Linked DNA regions of Arabidopsis thaliana. The protein of the gene in region 2 interacts with the protein of the main gene of each other region in a pairwise test. Each region holds a gene or a part of one and is shown on either strand. Other genes may lie near its edges. The genes, in order: GNC, SPL13B, ALC and AT4G22360.

Region 1 (4,668 bases), 2.4 Mb from region 2:
TTACATTTTTGATATATTTATGATTGGTGTGCTGTACTAGCTACTCATGACCCTAAGTAATAATGTAGCAGCGAAAGAAAAAAGTATTTTTTGATGTGTTGATTCAGACTTAGGTCAACCTATATGTGTTTTTTTTAAGTTTGAAATAAAATTAATTAGATCATTTTTTTTGGATAAAGGGCTTATATTAGTTAGATAATCTAATGAAAAAACTAGAAGAAAATATGTGGGCTTGCAAATATGTCGTCGTCTTAAAATGCAACACAAACGTATTATCTTCTTCACACATGATCTCTTGTCTTATATACGCATTCATATTATCCCATATCAACCATCTTTACCCTCATCTTTATATTTTGTGTTCAGTATATTCTCACAAGCAATTAAATCCAAAATAGTCAATTTAAAGCATTTCTAAGAAAAATTACACTACTATTATGAGCTTCAAAAATATATTTAAATTTTGAATGATACCAAATACTAGACGTACAATTTTAAAGCTGGTAATCCATTTATGATTGAGCTAAATTGTGATGATATGTATATTGTATAAAGATAAACACATAAATAAAAGTACCCTTAATTGATTATATTATTTCTCCAACCTCGTTACACAATACAGTACTATAAAACTTGTAAATGAACAAGAATTACCCACATTATCGGGTGACTAATGTTCGTTCCATCGGAAAACAAAAACACAACAAACTCAAAACCAAAATCTCCATAAACATATATAGAGCTATTAATTATCATATTAAACTCTCACACACTCTTATTATAAAATGTTTTGACTCCTGATATTAGACCAACTGCAAAAACTAAACTAATCACTCCAAGATTTAACAATCAATCATTATTATGATTACTATAATCTATATATTACTATTAAAATAAACCTTTTTGTAATGAGGATATTGTGATGATCTGATCAACCGTGAACCATTCCATACGACAGAGCCATGAGCAAAACAGCAGCCTCCTTCTCATCTTGTGGGAACACTTGTTGATAAGCTGAGCTTTTGCTCAACATTATTGTCAAATCATCGAAGCAAAATTTGTTTGACGAAATCGAAGAATTAGAAGAAGTTGTAGATTTGCTGATCTCTGAATCTCCGGCAACCGTTTCCGCTTCCATTTCCTTCTCCTCTTCCTCTTTGATCTTGCACTTTTTGGCCTTGGCCACCATTGGAGGAGAGTGATTGTATTTTTCCCCTCCGTTTGATCTCTTTTTTTTATTTTGCAACTTCTTTTTCAGCGGTAATTGTTGCACTCGGGGCGCTACCGCCACCTCTTGGTCGCCGGCTGCAGCGGCCGCGGCCATAGCGGCTCGCCTTGCCTTTCTTTGCCGTATACCACATGCGTTACAAAGAGACTGCAATGATAAATGAAAATTAGTATGCGAACTGTAGATGACAAAAAAAAAATCATAGAATGTTGGACTTATGAGTATCATTGATTAAAGTATTAATGTTTAAAGGATGTATCAGGTTTAAATAAATTAAATATCTACATTCTTGAAATATAACTATTAATTTTAAAAATGTGAACTAAACTAGGTAGATATAGATAGTATGACATATATCAAGACAATTTCGATTGAAGTAAGTGTGATTAATCTACCTTGGGACCTCGAGGTCCACTTCGCCAAAGAGGAGTCTTGGTGGTGTTACAATCCGAACAAACCCTAATCACGCCATTGTTATTACTATAACCGTTCTCGTTGATTGTATTGTAGCGATTCTCGGTGGTCGCGGCCGTGGTCTTCCTGGTCAAGACGTTCTTGAAATTAAGATCTTCATGGTGATCCTCGTCGAAATTAGTCTTATGATTCAAAGGGTAGTGATCACTTTCTTTATGATTATTATTATTAGTCTGATCAATGAGCTGTTTATTGTTGGTGATTGTTTTCTTGATCAACCGCATCTTTGGGGACATCAACCACTTGTCGGAGTCTGAATCGGGTTTTGTCGGGTTTTGATGAAGAGGATGGGGTTGGTCTTCGTGATCTTTTTTCCTTATCGTTAGTTTCAGTCTTGTCTCCTTCTTTGGCACCATGTGATCGCATGCTGATGATCCACCGTTAGCCACAAACATCTTGGCCTGGTATATATATATCACCGATCAAGGTTTATAATCAACAACAGATGGAATTGTACATAATAATATAATGATATGGCTTCTTAAGATCCCTCCTTTTTATTTGATAAATTAAATTTCGTCTATATAGAATTCTCGACATACAAATTCAGAAACTAATATTATTGTATGAATTTTACATGATCAGGCATGATTTTAACTGCTAAACTAAAAAGAACGATCGTACAAGAATAACATTTATACACACACACTTAAGGTTGATATGTAATTGTAAATTTACCTTGAGGGGTTGAGAAAGATGGAGATGATCAGCGTGATAAGTGTTGTTGTAGGCAACATGTTGATCTTCTTGAGAGTTGATCAAGAAAGGGAGGTAAGAGGAGAGCGATGAAATGGACGAAGAAGAAGATGAAGAATTAGAAGGGACTTGATGATGATGATGATGATGATGATGATGAAGCGAGGAAGAGGATCCAAGAGGATAGAAAAAGGGTTGTTCGTGATGGTTTTGATCTTCGTTAAGATCTATCGAGTAATGAAAATTTGAATCCATTGATGAGATAAACAAATGAAGACACAAAGAGAGAGAGAAAGAAAGCTAAGATGAGAGATTGAGAGAGATCATAGACGGCAAAAAGAGTCCAAGCTATACTATGTTTGATCCTTTTTAAAGGCAATGAGATGAGACACGAGCCAAACACACATGGTCTCTATTATATTCATATATAAAATATATCAGTTTAATAAATGGTTTACGTGAGTCTAGAGTTAGGGTACTTATGTCTCTGTATACATCAACTTGTACAGTGAATTTTAGAAGACATGGATAAAATACTGTTTTAAAATCCTACTTTCGGACAAGTCCGGATGTCATACCAATGATTTTAATTTTTTTAATGTCCTTTTTATATGTTTTTTTCTAATTTAGAAAAAAAAGCTCTAAACTTCTAGTTTTCTCAAATGACCATAAAGTATTATGAGATTCGAATCCATAATTTTATTTGCATATGCTATAACGGACATGCGATCCAGTAATCCTTGATGAGCTAGTAAAGAAAGCTTGTTGTTTTTTTCTTGGATTGATTTAAGAAAATGGATACAAATAAATAACTGAAATGATCAGTAATAGTAAATGGTCAATATTTACATTAAGAAAGTTGAAAATATATGTATATGTATATATATAATTAATTAATTTAGAGGTTCACGTGAGTCCATGGCACCCATACAAACCAAACACATGAGACAAACTGTGTGTATGTGGAATGGTACTGGACGGCCCCATTCAAAACAAACCCTATCTGTAATTTCCTTACCCCACTAGAGAGACACAGAAAATTAAAAATAAAACCCTAATTTATATAAATATTGGAGAGTGAGAGCCACACAAATCATGATAATAATTGAAACAAATAAGATCCTTTTACTTGTTGTCTTTTCAAATCTAGGGTTTCCTAGATCTCATCAAGGCTCTATTATAGAAAAAGAAAAAAAAAAAAGTCAAAATTTGGATTTCTCATGTTCTTTTCATATGTATATATACCGTTAAACTAAAAATCTACTGTATTCATGAAGAATCACTAAAAAGGTTAGATTTTCAGCTCTATGAATTTTTACTAGATTTTATTAAATCGTATCAGTCAAAACAAATTTAGAATAAATATTGATTGATAAATTTTAGAAAGTATATTACATTCTCTTATTTTCTCAACCAAAAAAAAACAAACTTCTCTTATTTAAAATGAATATCTAACTAGCGTCTGTAAATATGTCTATTGACAAATAAAAAATTAAAAAAAAAAAATGAGAAACAAAAAAGAGTCAATTAGCATTACGTGAAAAAACGTCAAAAATAAATAAATAAATAGAAATGACAAATAGTTAGTGTTTATCTTTCAGATAAGTCAGTGGATCTTCTTAAAATTCCCCTACGAGTAGTGTTAGTTAGTACCTAAAATTATAGACTTTGTTGTGATAAGCCATCAATCATATAACATGGATTGTTAAAAGTTCAAATAAGTCCAACACTGATTCGTTGGTTTATTTCCTGATAATCAAAGTTTACTCAATTGGCATAACAAATTCAAGATCTCTTGAAAACGTAGTATATATGCTATATGTAACTCGTGATCCTTTCAACTGCATGTGATCCATCAATAATCCTCCCAGAGGATAGAGAACGAAATGATCCATGATTGAGAGATAGGAAGCGAGGCAGAGGGAGAAGAGATCAGAGATCTAGAGAGAGGAGATGAATAGAGAGAAGAGATAGGTTTAGAATGGTAAAGGAAGAAAACATCCCACCTTAGTATTGCCAAACTTATTCAATTCCTTCTCATCAGATTATACAGATCATTGAGGACCCCCACACACAAAGAGACAATCCATCTTTATTTTTCAAAATTTAAAATTGGCCCATCAATTTGTAACAATTCTTAAGCTAACTAAATGATCTAAGGAAAAAATAATAATTGATATTAATTTTCTGCTATATTTAGTAGCTTTTTATATGGGATCAGATTATGATCTATATATAACTCCCAATTTTCTAACACATACTATAGGATT
Region 2 (4,468 bases):
GAAGAGGTTTATCAAGTGTTTAAGCTCAGAGAAGAGATAGTGATGTTAATTCTAAGTTTCATGTAAGATCTGCTCAAGTACTCATTTTTACACTATTCGAGTTTGAAGTTTGATTGGAGAGAAGAAGAAGACTGTACAAGATTATGAGAAGAATTGGAGAAGCGAGTCAAGGTTAGAAAGAAGATGTGATATCATTTTACTTGTGGCATTTGTTATTGTAATGTTAGTTAAGACTTGGATTGAGACTTGTATGGAGATTTTATATATATTGAATTTGATCAAAAAGAGGTTTCTTGCAAATGTGTAACAAAATGTCCCAAACTTATAGGCTGTTTATAGATTTATAGCCAAAAAAATAAAGCTACAACATATCAGATCATAGCCTATAAAATATAGCTACAAAATAATAGTTTATAGCCCTTAAAAAGAGTTACAAAAGTATAACATCAAAATTGTGCAATAACAAAGGAAATCAAAGCATTTCTTTTACGCCATAATATGTGAACATTTAATAGCATAGCAAGAAACGCTATTGTATGTGACCACTCTAAGATAGCTCCGGCAAACACAGCGTTTATGAATCCGCTATGTAAACGTTATTATAGCGTTTTCGGTGTGTTAAGAATGTCCATATTTCTTGTAGTGTTAACAAGAACAATGATGATGATAAAGAACATTGAAAAATGAGGGAGAAGAGAAGAGACACAAATAGATCTTTCTGATTCTATCTATCTACCTACTTCTTCTTCTACTACTCCCAATGAAACGGGAATGTCTGCGGAAGACGGACAGCCTCGTTACCGGATATAACCGATCCATCAGAGACTGCACTCGCATTCTCAAACAATCCCGACCCGTAAAAAACTGTCTCAACTGCTTCTTGGGACAAAGAAAGTGGTGGTTGAAGCAAATGAGGGACTGACGACGAGGAGGATGACAGAAGAGAGAGAGCACAATCAGAGTCATGGATGCAACTCGTCATTCTCTCACACAACGATGCGGTTCTCGAGCTTTCTTCTTCTTGCAAGAAAGGGAATTGTTTTGCTATGCTTCTGGTACTGTTTGGAGAAGAAGAGATTGGAAACATTATCCCTGTCTTTGCAGGAGAAGAACCAACAACATAGCTCTGGCTCTGCCCATAACTCGAACCATTGGCGGCTACAGCAACGCTTACAAGACTATTTCCCCAGCTCGGGTTCAACACAGATGTAGTTGGAAACACATGTGAACCACCAGAAAACTCTAGCAATTTGCTACCTGAAAACATAAAACAATGCTTCTTCATCAACAAGGAACGGTCTATTGGATTCAAGAAACTAACTAACTTTTCTTAAAACAGAAACCTTGAAAACCCGTAAAGAAGTTGGCAGGACGACCGATATGTTCAGGCTGCGGCTTCCGTCGTCTTCGATTATGTCCATCAAGACGTTTCCTACAACTTCTCTTCCCTTCATCAAACTCCTCCAAAGCATGAAACCTAATTAGACACAAATGTTAACATCTTCACCAACCCAACAAGAAGCTTAAACCATTAACACACAATCTTACCTGCTGCATTGTTGACAAAACCTCTGTTTATGACCATTAATAGTAACCACAGGAGTTTTTGAATGAACATCACAAACTTTATGTCTCTTATGATACTCTCTACAATTACTAAAATCAGAATCACATCCATCAACAAGACAAATCGGCATCTGGTTGGTTCCAACACCATTCCCTCTTGTTCTCTTTGAACTCGAGCTTCTTGAACCTTCTGGTTTAGCTAAAGCACTATCTTTCCACTTACTAAGACTAATCACTTGCTCTGTATCACCAAAAACAGAGGAAGAGTTTCCAATGTTTCTTCCAAGTTTTAGATCAAATGAAAAATCCGCTTTTGACTGTGACGACCCACCAAACGAGATCGAACCATCCATTGGTGATAAATCTGGTTCTTGATCGAATCCAGATAAATAACCAGAGCTAAGTTTGAAATTCCAGTCCATTCAAAGATTGTGCTTTTTTTTCTTCTCTCACTATAAAAACACATACATACACAACAGCAATCAAAGCAATATCAAGATTTGTCCTTTTTGATATTGGTACTCTAAATTTAAGAACAAACAGCAAAAACAACTAGTAAACATAAAACCCATGAATCTTTAACTCAATTAAACTTCAACTTCAATACATATGAAGGAAAATAAAAAAGCATAAGCAAAAAGCAAAAACACAATTATAAAGAGTACTCTGAAATTGTAGTTGAAGCTCTAACAAAATGATCTATTTTGATATTGAAAAAAAAACAAAAAAAAAATCCCAAAAAAGGCAAACTAATTGTACTGAAAAAACGAAATGAGAAGTGCAGAAACATAGAAACTAGAACAGATCCCACAAAATGGGAAGAAAGGAAAACAAAAAAAAAAACAAAAAACTTTTTTTCTGTCTACTCAATTCCAAGCAAGAATTAAAAAAATGCAATAAAAATGAAAGATTAAAGTAAGATTATAAACATGTTATTACATTAAAAAAAACTATAGAATAAGAAAAGTTTGTTGTTTGAAGGTTGAGAAATCTTACCAAATCCATACACCTACCAGTAGAGTCAGTAGAAGAAGAAACTCCAAAAGAGAAAGATGAAAATATAAAAAAATGGGACAAGTGAAAAAAAAGAAAGAGAAGATGATGGAGTTTAGCAAGAGAAAGTGGAGACAACAAGTGTGGCTGCTACTTCAATAATGCAAATAAGAGAAAGAGGAAAGAGAGAGAGAAATTGATGATAATAGCTATTACTAAGTTAAGAAATGATTTACTTACTTTAATTGTAACTTTACTTTCCTGATTTAGGGTTTTATTGATATCATTTTTTAAAAACTTTGAGTAAGAAAAAGTGAAGAAAAGAATGGAGGAAAGTGACAGCTGTTGTTGATTGTTCTTTTGCTTACTTTTTCAACTTTTCTTTGTTTATATTTTTCTCTGCCATTCATCAATTCTGAACTCTGAGCATCCGATTTTTATGAATGAACAGAGTATACTTTTGAAAATTTCAAATTACTCATAAATCTTGTATCTTTTTACTGACCCTTATCCAAAATATATTAGTTTTCAAATTGTGATATAAAATAGATGTGGTTTTTTCTTTTTTATAACTATGATGATGATGAAAATGAAACAATAAATTGGAAAGTGATACTAAAGAAAGAGGTATAGGATGCTTAGTTGTTTACGGCAAAAAACATAGCATGTGAATGTTGTGCTTCGCATTACACAACATCTTCTTCTGTTTTTTTTCTTCTCTCTTTCCACCGATACGCGTTATTTTCTTTGACTTTCATAGTTACGGGTCACACAAGTTGTCAATTATCAGGGAGAATCGTATAAAAGTCTTCCATGTCTTTAAAAGTTTTGCAGATGGATTTAAAAGATTTGGGGTCCAAAGCCCATGTTTCATTTGTTTCGGCCCATAAATTGTCCTAAAAAATAACAAATTGGTTATTTATTGAATGCACAGTTGTTTTGAATTTAAAAATTTGTAGTTGACGAACCGGACCAAACCAAAACAAACCATGTAATTTGAATAAATAAAAAGAAAGCAATTTTCCGGTTAACAAAAAATCTCAAACTCAGTGAGTGAGTCACCGAAAACCTCTTGTAGTAGATTCGTGACGGGTTTGATCATCTCTTCGAGGTCGGTTCTAGGGTTTCACTACGAGAATGGACGGAGATGAGCTCACCGAGCAGGAAACTGCTCTTTATGACCGTCAAATTAGGGTATGGGGAGCTGGTGCTCAAAGAAGGTACTTCACATTGAATCTAACTTCTATGGCTTCAAGCAACAACAAGTTATTGATTTTCCGTTTGAGTACTAATAAACTCTTCTTGTTGGGCTATACTCGGTGAAAGTTTATCTCTTTCTGGGTTTTAAGCTAATTTAGCTGTTGAAATTTTGATTAGGGCTTCTCTGAATTTTGTTTTGTGTTTTTGCTTGCAGATTGAGTAAATCTCATGTTTTGGTATCTGGAATTAAGGGCACTGTTGCTGAGGTACCTCTTACTTTATTTTGTGACTCTCTATTAGCTATGTTGCAGTAGAGTGAGTGTTGGCATCTTACTTGGTTTCCTCCATTTGGTGTTGCAGTTTTGTAAGAACATTGTGTTGGCAGGAGTAGGTAGTGTGACTCTGTTGGATGATCGATTGGTTACAACGGAAGTCTTCAACGCAAACTTCTTGATTCTTCCTGATGAAAATGCTTATGTAGGCAAAACCGTAGCTGAGATTTGTTGTGATTCACTTAAGGATTTTAACCCTATGGTTCATGTTTCAATAGAGAAAGGTTACTCCTCCTTTCTTCATTTCTCTCTAATTTTAGTAGAAACAAATGATTTTAGTAACATCGAGTCTATGTCTTCAATTTCAGGTGATTTGTCAACACTTGGTGTTGATTTTTTCGAGAAGTTTGATGTTGTGGTTATCGGCTACAGTTCTC
Region 3 (3,709 bases), 6.2 Mb from region 2:
TTCTTGTACATTTTGCCTTCAACAGTGTGAAGACGAGTCATGCAAGCACACAACCCGCTCCCCCAACTTTCGTCTACTCGGTGAACGTGAACGGGGGACAGTTTGCCCAAACTATCCTAACTGTAACGGAACCCTCTTACGAAAGGTATATACCATCATCAACCTTATAACTCCTATCTCTCTATTGCTTCACAGACTAACTCTTGACTTTACAGTACACTGAAGCAGACTTGTACAAGCAACTGTCATACTTCTGCCACATCTTAGACACACAATGCTCTTTAGAAAAGGTTTCTACTTTACAACCTTGTTATATTATTAATATCAATTTGTCTTGTCTATATCCCTAAAGTTATCGGTACCATTTGAAATAACAGATGGATGTTGGCGTGAGAATTCAAGTAGAGAAAGCAATGACGAAGATAAGACCTGCGGTTAAGTCAGCAGCAGCAATCACTCGAAGTAGTAGAGACCGGTGTGCTTATGGATGGATGCAACTCACAGACATAGTCATTTGATAGTTGTAATAATCATCTCATATGTAAGTAAATTAGTCTTTTATATATAATCTGCTTCAGACATCATTATAATCAAACTACTCAGATTTTGTTCACTCCTAAAGCTTATTAGCATAACTATAACTGAACATAGAAATCTGGCCAATGCTAAAACTCAAAACATTGTTCACTCCTGTCTGGCAGGTACTAGAGGAATTCCGATCATCATCATTGTCTGAATGTTATCTTCAAAGCAGAGTGGCTGTGGAAAAGCACATTCCTTGACTTGTTTTAGCTGGTTCCAGCGAGTGAGGAGCAGCGAGAAGAGTCTCTAGGTTCAGGTCTTGCTCTAAGGTCTCATTGATCCTTGTATGAGTTGGAGGTGGAACCTGTGGTAATCGCATAGGGTTTAAGCCTAAACCATTCATAACGGCTAAAGTCTGCATCATGCAGTAAATCAAGTTAATGATCTGAGTGATGTAATTTACAAATCAGACTTTGAACGTATATAATCATAGTAAGTAGGAAAAAAACCTGGACTTGAAGTTGAAGCTGCTTCAGATATTCTATAGCTTCATCAAGCATTGAGGCTTTATCAGTCTATAAACAAACAAAAGATAACGGATCAATCAGAACAATGTTTCTCACTATCTCTGATTCGAACAAAGATTGATTAACCTTGTTGGAATTGGGAATGAGTTTCTGCAAAGCTTTCATTTTCTCGTTGATCTTGCTCCTCCTCTTCTGCTAACACTCAGATTCTAATCAACTACAATCTCAAGGTTCTTCTTCTTTCTAAATTAAGAATCTTAAAAGGAAGATAAAAGAGAAAACCTTTTCAGACAAGTTGTGGAATTGAGCATCAATGTTTCTCTTCAACGAATTTCTCTGTTTAGCTCCACTTCTCTTTAGTGTTTAGCCATTCCAAAAAGAAAAGAGACTAATTTTGGTTTTTGTTTTCTTTTACAAGGAAAGCCAAGTGAAGCATCTCTGCAGCTAAGAATAGTTAAGTTTATACCTTGTGTTCGAAAGCATATTTGTCTTGGCCAGTTTCAGAGACTCCATAACCGACGGAAGAAACAGCTCCGCCGGAAACGGAAGGGAAGAAGGTCTCAGCGGAGGAAACATTAGTACTCTTCGGTGGTGAAGAAGGTTGAGCTGTAGGAGTACGGGAAAGAATCTGTCGGAGAAAGCTCGAGAGTTCGTCGGAAGAAGATGGAGGGGGAAGACGATCACCGACGTCAGAATCACCCATCTCTCTCTCTCTCTCTCTCTCTGCTCTACTCTGTGTGTAAAAATTATCACTGTGGCTTTTTCGTAGTAAAGCTTATAGGCGGGGGAGGTAGGACGCGTGAGATCACGTTCTTCAGAGAAGCGCGTGGAGGTTCTAAAAGAGGCGAGTGGCGTGTCGAATCCCTATAGACAGAATCTGGTGTCTCACATCACTCTGTGTGTGAACAGTTTCCTTTTGTAGCAATTTTATTTAATAATATTATATTTTTTACCTAATAAAAAAAAGGAAAAAAGCATTTTTGGACCACCAAGTAAATAAAAAACATACATTTTTATTGTTTTTTTCAATGTGATAAGTTAAATTGAGAGGAGGGGATGAAATTATGAAAATCAGTAAATGAAACGGTTGAAAAAATAAGAGTATTGATAAGATAGAGCATTGATAGACTATTTAATTATTATTATGACTAAACATGAAAATGGACAATTACTTGAAAAGTAAGGTCTCGCAACAGTTTCACCATTTTTGACAAATTACAAAAATCTATTTTTTCCTTCTTTTTTGTTGTTGTTGTTGTCCACAGATAAAGTGTGAATAAAACTGCATGCATTTCGAAAGATTATTTATTCGAGAGATTATTTAACACAAAATAAAATTCAGATATTATAATGGTCAATACAAAGACGATAACATGTCCTTGATCATTAGCCTTTTTTTAATGCATCCAAAGGGAAATATATATAATATAGTAATTAAAATAATTATGGTTCATAGCAAAAATAAGAATAACTAGATTTTAACCCGCGGTATACCGCGAAAACAATTTATTTTTTAAATTAATATATATAAAAGTTTGTAAATTGTATCTATCTATAAAATATTTTTATTGTATAGTTTACAATTGTTATTAAGTAACGTCCTGCCAAACCCGTCCCGCCAACCCGTCCTCTAAAAAAACTCATTTATTTTATGAATGTGATCTTATTTATGATATGTTTATGAATTATTGTCTAAATATTTTGTAATTTTGTAGTAATTAAATGTTATCAAATATCTCTACGGTTTGATGATTATAATCATGCAGAAAAGCAATATCAAAAATGATAATTTTGTAGTAATTAAATGATATTAAATATTTTAGAAGTTTTATTTTAGTAATTAATCGTGTAGTTAAGGTAGAGAGATTTTGGAAAGATTGTTAAATGTCAAATATTTAATTAGAAGATTTTCTTTCTAATTATCAAAAACAATTATTAAATGCCAATGACAGCCGCTGTAAATAAATCCCAACTCCAGAATTTATTTCACAAAGTGGCTGCAAAAATATATATATAGATGATAATAATCAAAATCAGAAATCAAATCAAAATCCAACTTGCCATCTAAATAAATGGAATCTTTCTAACTTGATAAAAAGGGAAATATTGGTAATTATGGTTCATAGCAAAAGAAAGAAACAAAAAAACTGAAATCCAACGAGATAAACGGAATCTTTCAAACTTGATAAAACATTTAAACGACTTCTCGGTTGCAAAGAGGACACTTGTTCGTGACCATTAGCCAATTCTTGATGCATCCGAAGTGAAAGTCATGCCCACATCCCAGTTTCGAAACTTCTTCATTGTCCTTCAATTTCTGCTGACAGATCACACATCTCTTCGTTTCATCGTCGCTACGCTTTTCATATTTCCTTCTTATTAGATTCTCATCAATCACTTCCTCGCTTAAACCAGTGCGTTCATCTCCTGTTTCGTCAGTGATGCTCAATAATTCCTAGAAAAAAAAAGATTCATTCATAAAATTATCGATATCTAAACTCTGCAGCTTATACAACTCTAGAATCAAGAAACCAAAATGGTACATATAATTTTTATTAAAGAGAGTCCTAATCTCTTCTACATCTAGGATTCAAATGCACTTCTTTGAAAACTACACATGCAACCGACTAGTTAACCAATACTGGAAGCATTAAATTTTC
Region 4 (5,383 bases), on a different chromosome or scaffold from region 2:
AATGATTGTTCTCATGACGGTTTACCTGTAATGTGCAGAATGTGACAAGTCACACATCCAATTGGGGAAGGGATTCAGTTTCCACATTTGCCATATGTACCAGGGAAAGCTATTGATAAAGTCAGTATTCGTTCCACTCTAAATTCAGTTATCATAACAATTATAACCCGTGAATCATGACCATATTTAAACCAAACAATGCAGGAATGTGGAGATGTTCATGGAACCAATTTTCCACATAGAGCACCTAAGACTAGTGAGTCTGTCATGTTCATAAGATTTATGTCATCATGTGATTCACTTACTTACCTATTGTGGTTTCTCATTTGTCTTCTGATGCAGAGAACTATGGCGTTTGCAGTGAGTATTGCTGAGAAGATAGTCACTTTCTTGAGACAAGCAGAAAACACAAGGAGACAAGCAATGGCACTCCTGCTACTTGTTCTTCTGCTGCTTGCTGCAGCCGCTTTCTACGTCACACGTCTGAGATTCTGATAAAAACACAGCAAATAACATGGAAGATAGCAGGAAAAAAAACCATAGCATAGGGAATAAGATTTTTCTATCAGTAGGATGCAAATATTTCCAACAGGGAAAACATAGTTAAACACATGAGTTTTTTTTTCCTAAGACATTCATGGGTGAATGGCGTTTAATACAAAACATCTGCGCCGTTTCACCCTTAACACTAGAGTTTCGGTACAATACTAAATACAACATCAACCTAAGCATGTCGATACACAACCAACTAAAACAAAGAACCCAACGGAAGATTAAAATAGCATTAAAGGAAGTTAAAAGTGAAAAGGATCTTTTCTTCCCTATCAGAGTTCTACAGCAAGGAGTCATAAGTAGGTTCCCTAGATACACACCTGCAAGAGAGTTGTGATACAGAAGTCAATTACCATATTTGGACAATGCTGATATATAAGTATCATAATCTGTTAAATCAAACTTCACTTACACTAGTAGTTCCTAGTTAATTAAGTCAGACCAGAAGATATCACGACTGCTTGTACATATGGCGCCTCAGCATCTCATTTATCCCCACAGCTGAAATGCTTTCACATCCAAGAAGATCTCGGAGCTTTTCATCACACTGAATAGCCATTGGATTTACTGGGTCCTGAAAGAAAATTGAAAAGCAGAATAAACAAATCTTAATTTTCTTGTTTATGGCCATTCACTATGCTCTATAACATAAAGTTATGTGAAATCCTATACTGTAAATTATCTTATAGAGTAAACCACAATACCAGCTTTAGTTAGCAGCAAACAGGAAAAAAATTCGAAGCAATAAGGAGAAACCAGAGGATTTCAAGATTAAAATCATTACCTCTAAATTGTTGAGTTTTATGTATTCCCAAACACGGCGAATAATCTCTTCGTCTGCCATCTCCGTCTCACCAGTGCCAAAGAACTTACCAAGTGGCTCAGATAATGTAACAGTTGAACTAATAGCAGTTGAACTAATAGGCTCGGTGGTCTCAGTCTTAGTCTCCACCTCAGTTTTTGCCTTTTTTGCTTGACCAGAGTCCTCTGCCAAAAGTGACTCAAACAGTCAGTAACCTTGAACAAACCAAGCACAGTTGGAACTCAGCAAAAAACGCTTGTGTTTAACCATTACTTGATGGATCAAGCGGGAGAATATGCTTAGCAAGCAACTTATTCATCTTGAACATGTCAGTGCAATCAGTCTCAAAAACCACACGCAACGCATCATCACAGATGATCTTCCGCTTGTTACTCGGGTCTTGAAGGTTATTCTTCCTTATATAAGCCCACAATTGCCTCACAATCTAAAACCAAAAGCCAAACACAGCAACACATAAATAACAACCACAATTGCTTATACACATTATAATCATAAATGAAAGACAATGATAACCTCAGTTCTAGGAAGAGCAGGTTCACCAACAACTACTTCAAGTTCTGGAGAAACCCTACAGACTTTGTTTAGTCCTCCAGGACCACCCTTTCTTTTAGTTCCAGCCGGAGCACTGCAAAGGAAAAGTTGACAAATTTCGTTGATGTGCCAAATTTAGGTAGATCAGAAAGAAATAATCACACTATAATAGAACGTTGTATGAATCAATGTGCTAAAAATATCACAGGATGATAATTCTAAACATGAGCATGTAAAACCTAAAAACCCGTAAATGAACAAAATTGACAAAAGATTTAGACATTCCTAAAATGGAAAATCATGTTTTCCATGAAAGTAGCAAAAGCCCTAAATTACTGAAATTGGAACAACCTTGAGCAAAATTACGTACCAACATTTGAAATATGTTGCAAACCCTACCTTTCTTTTGGGGCTTGATTAACAGATAGAGAAGCATTCCCGCCATGTGAGAGCATCACAGAGGATTGTTGTTGTCGCGGAGACTGCTGCTGATGCTGGTGCTGTTGCGGCGGCATGTAAACCGGATAAGGCTGCCGGAAATTTAGGTCATAAGAGTGATAAGGAGGCTGAAGAGCGAAATGTGAAGGATATTGTTGTGATTGAGAAGAAACAGAGAATTGCGAAGGATGGCTAAGTGTGAAATGCCCTTTCGCCATCGGAGGAACATTGACGCCGGAATGCAAATTCTGCTGCTGGTGAGAAGACGGCGGAGGAGGAGGGTGAGATTGTTGTACGGATGAAGCGGAGGCGACGGAGGCAGAAGGGTTTTGGTGAGCACGGAGGAGGATATTGATCTGATCTCTGATGAAAGTCGTCTTCTCCGTGAGGTCTAACCCTAACTTAGCTTCAAGCTGCTGAACAATACTGCTTAACGATGTGAGAGAGCTAGGGTCGGATTGTCGAAGCAAAGTCTCGACTCCTTTCGCTAGATCCTGGTCCGACACCATTGTCGAGAGAGAATTTCAAAGCTTTTTTTTTCATACACACAAAAAAAAAAACTTTTTAAGGAGAAAAAAAAAAACAAATACCCCACAAAAGAAAAAGAAAAAAAGACAACAAATTCTCTATATCTTTCTCTCTCTTATCCTCTTCTCTAATCTTGTCTCTTTCTCTCTCTCCTTCTTCGTCTCTGTCTCTTTATAACTATTTGGAAAGACGAATATGCCCTTCAGGGTTGGTTAGATTTATCAAATGATGACAAATGTCGGTGTTGCCCTTATGAGTCATGGTATCTATGGCTTGTAGGTAGAGGGTGTTGTCGTATTTTGGCTAATCTATTTGCTTTTTTACTTCTTCGCCAGCTGGCTTTAACTTCAGAACTCATCTCTTTACTCGTGGAATGTCGAATACGTCCTTGTAGATTTTCACGCGTTTATAGTTTGCTTCGAGAAGCTTGAGGGTATTAATGGTTATTCGATAAGTATCGGATCGTGAATACAGATCAATTACTGAATACTGCTGACAGAAGTAATATAAATGGAACAGATTGTTATTGGGCTATAACAGTGTGGCCCAATAATAAATATTCGGCCTTTTAACCGAGTTAATCAATCTGGGTGAGACTTGAGTCGGCTCTTGAAGCTTTAATAGGTTGTTTGTTTAACGTCTGCGTTGTGGCGGATTTTGAAGTTTCTCGAGAAAATTGGGAACGAGAGATAAGTTCGAGTAGATTCGCGACTGTCGACGCTTCTGATTTGAAGTATTTGGCGTTTTTTGGAAGAGTTCATTGCTTCTTTGGTTGAGGATTCTTCGTGAATCGCTGGGATTTTGTGTTCTAAGGTTTTTGAAGCAAGCTTTAGCTTAGGGAAAATTTTGAGAATGAAAGGTGAAAGAGAAGTGAAGAATGGTGTTTCTGAGGAAGAGAGAGAGGTGAAGAGGAAGAGAGTGATGGAACGGTCTGATTCGCCACCTCCACCACTAGGTTTCAACAATCCTCTTTTGCCGTTTGCTAATGCTTACGATGATGATAATAACCAGCAGAATAAATCGCAAACTCGTTGTAATGTAGTTGCGAAAGGAGAGGGAAATGGTAACAAAGTGAAAGGAGAAGCTCAAGTAGAGGTCGATGACGACGAAGATGATGATGATGATGCTTCGAAGGGGAGAGGAAAGCATTCACGCCATGTTGAAGTTCGTCGTGATTGTCCTTATCTTGATACTGTTAATCGTCAGGTATATCATTGACCAATTTCTTGTGTTTGGTACTTGTAATGTATCTAATCTATGGTGGATCTTTAAGCTTCTGCTAGGTTCATTATATTGCTGGTTTGAGATTAGCGTTTAAACTCATATCTTATGGTTGATTTCAGGTGTTGGATTTTGATTTCGAGAGGTTTTGCTCTGTCTCATTGTCAAATCTGAATGTGTATGCGTGTCTTGTTTGTGGGAAGTACTTTCAAGGAAGAAGCCAGAAGTCTCATGCTTATACACATAGCTTGGAAGCAGGACACCACGTTTACATCAATCTTCTGACAGAGAAGGTTTATTGTCTTCCTGATAGTTACGAGATCAATGACCCTTCTTTGGATGACATTCGCCATGTTTTAAACCCAAGGTATATTAGATCTTGTGACTAACTACATCATAGTTCTTACTGCATTTTGGGTATTGATTTGTGAACATGTGAGCCTTTGCACGTAGTTAACAACAACAAAATTGCTTTGACTATTATCTCAATCAGTTTCTTCTTACTAGTTCTCTGTATCATCTACCATCTATTTATATTTTTTTGCATGATAGCTTGAACATATTACTCTTCTTTCATGTTTTGTCAATTTTTCTTTGATTTTTCAGTTCCTTTGTATGAAGGCTTCGGTGCTATCCATTTACAGGTTTAGTAGAGCACAAGTAAACGAGCTTGACAAGAATAGGCAGTGGTCTAGGGCTCTTGATGGCTCCGACTATCTTCCAGGAATGGTAATCCTTTCTCTTTGATTACACTTGATCTTGAAATTAATGTCTCCTAAAGGTTAAGCTTGTAAATATGTAGGTGGGGTTGAACAACATACAAAAGACAGAGTTTGTGAATGTTACAATCCAGTCGTTGATGAGAGTTACTCCTCTAAGGAATTTCTTCCTCATTCCTGAAAATTATCAGCACTGCAAGTCTCCTCTTGGTCACCGTTTTGGGGAACTAACTCGCAAGATTTGGCATGCTCGAAACTTTAAAGGACAAGTCTGACTCAATTTATGCCTCTCACTTTTTTAGTTTTTGTTATGCACTCACCTATTGAGGACCTCGCTAATTTAAGTTACCTTGCATCAACAGGTGAGTCCACATGAGTTCTTGCAAGCTGTCATGAAAGCCAGCAAGAAACGCTTTAGGATTGGCCAACAATCAGATCCAGTAGAGTTTATGTCGTGGCTCCTCAACACTTTGCACATGGATCTTAGAACTTCAAAGGACGCTAGCAGTATCATCCACAAGTGCTTCCAGGTATGTGTCCGTCCTTTGAAATGTCAACATAATGCAGTTTG

What was found.
Region 1: the proteins of SPL13B (region 2) and GNC interact in a two-hybrid assay, tested with the Arabidopsis thaliana proteins (one large-scale study listed by BioGRID).
Region 3: the proteins of SPL13B (region 2) and ALC interact in a two-hybrid assay, tested with the Arabidopsis thaliana proteins (one large-scale study listed by BioGRID).
Region 4: the proteins of SPL13B (region 2) and AT4G22360 interact in a two-hybrid assay, tested with the Arabidopsis thaliana proteins (one large-scale study listed by BioGRID).

The regions. Positions count from the first base shown.
Region 1 is NC_003076.8:22,988,699-22,993,366, forward strand, and holds GNC (GATA type zinc finger transcription factor family protein), read right to left. Parts: upstream 2,833-4,668; 5' UTR 2,654-2,832; coding exon 2,381-2,653; intron 2,104-2,380; coding exon 1,624-2,103; intron 1,376-1,623; coding exon 932-1,375; 3' UTR 518-931; downstream 1-517. UniProt on the Arabidopsis thaliana protein: Transcriptional regulator that specifically binds 5'-GATA-3' or 5'-GAT-3' motifs within gene promoters. Involved in the modulation of chloroplast development, growth and division in a cytokinin-dependent manner.
Region 2 is NC_003076.8:20,615,146-20,619,613, forward strand, and holds SPL13B (Squamosa promoter-binding protein-like (SBP domain) transcription factor family protein), read right to left. Parts: upstream 2,919-4,468; 5' UTR 2,563-2,918; intron 2,394-2,562; exon of another isoform or gene 2,019-2,393; 5' UTR 1,989-2,018; coding exon 1,549-1,988; intron 1,478-1,548; coding exon 1,344-1,477; intron 1,258-1,343; coding exon 752-1,257; 3' UTR 559-751; downstream 1-558. Other genes in the region: AT5G50665 (uncharacterized protein), read left to right, coding at 1-23; SAE1B (SUMO activating enzyme 1B), read left to right, coding at 3,697-3,779, 3,974-4,025, 4,120-4,315, 4,400-4,468. UniProt on the Arabidopsis thaliana protein: Trans-acting factor that binds specifically to the consensus nucleotide sequence 5'-TNCGTACAA-3'.
Region 3 is NC_003076.8:26,784,587-26,788,295, forward strand, and holds ALC (basic helix-loop-helix (bHLH) DNA-binding superfamily protein), read right to left. Parts: upstream 1,846-3,709; 5' UTR 1,753-1,845; coding exon 1,516-1,752; exon of another isoform or gene 1,404-1,515; coding exon 1,332-1,403; exon of another isoform or gene 1,242-1,331; coding exon 1,176-1,241; coding exon of another isoform or gene 1,098-1,175; coding exon 1,032-1,097; exon of another isoform or gene 938-1,031; coding exon 746-937; 3' UTR 520-745; downstream 1-519. Other genes in the region: ICU2 (DNA-directed DNA polymerase), read left to right, coding at 26-145, 216-290, 378-518; AT5G67120 (RING/U-box superfamily protein), read right to left, coding at 3,244-3,504. UniProt on the Arabidopsis thaliana protein: Required for the dehiscence of fruit, especially for the separation of the valve cells from the replum. Promotes the differentiation of a strip of labile nonlignified cells sandwiched between layers of lignified cells.
Region 4 is NC_003075.7:11,805,281-11,810,663, reverse strand, and holds AT4G22360 (SWIB complex BAF60b domain-containing protein), read right to left. Parts: upstream 3,408-5,383; 5' UTR 2,854-3,407; coding exon 2,306-2,853; intron 2,001-2,305; coding exon 1,889-2,000; intron 1,800-1,888; coding exon 1,628-1,799; intron 1,540-1,627; coding exon 1,337-1,539; intron 1,127-1,336; coding exon 1,004-1,126; 3' UTR 965-1,003; intron 873-964; 3' UTR 547-872; downstream 1-546. Other genes in the region: AT4G22370 (uncharacterized protein), read left to right, coding at 39-120, 205-256, 343-495; AT4G22350 (Ubiquitin C-terminal hydrolases superfamily protein), read left to right, coding at 3,725-4,078, 4,216-4,460, 4,738-4,822, 4,896-5,081, 5,175-5,342.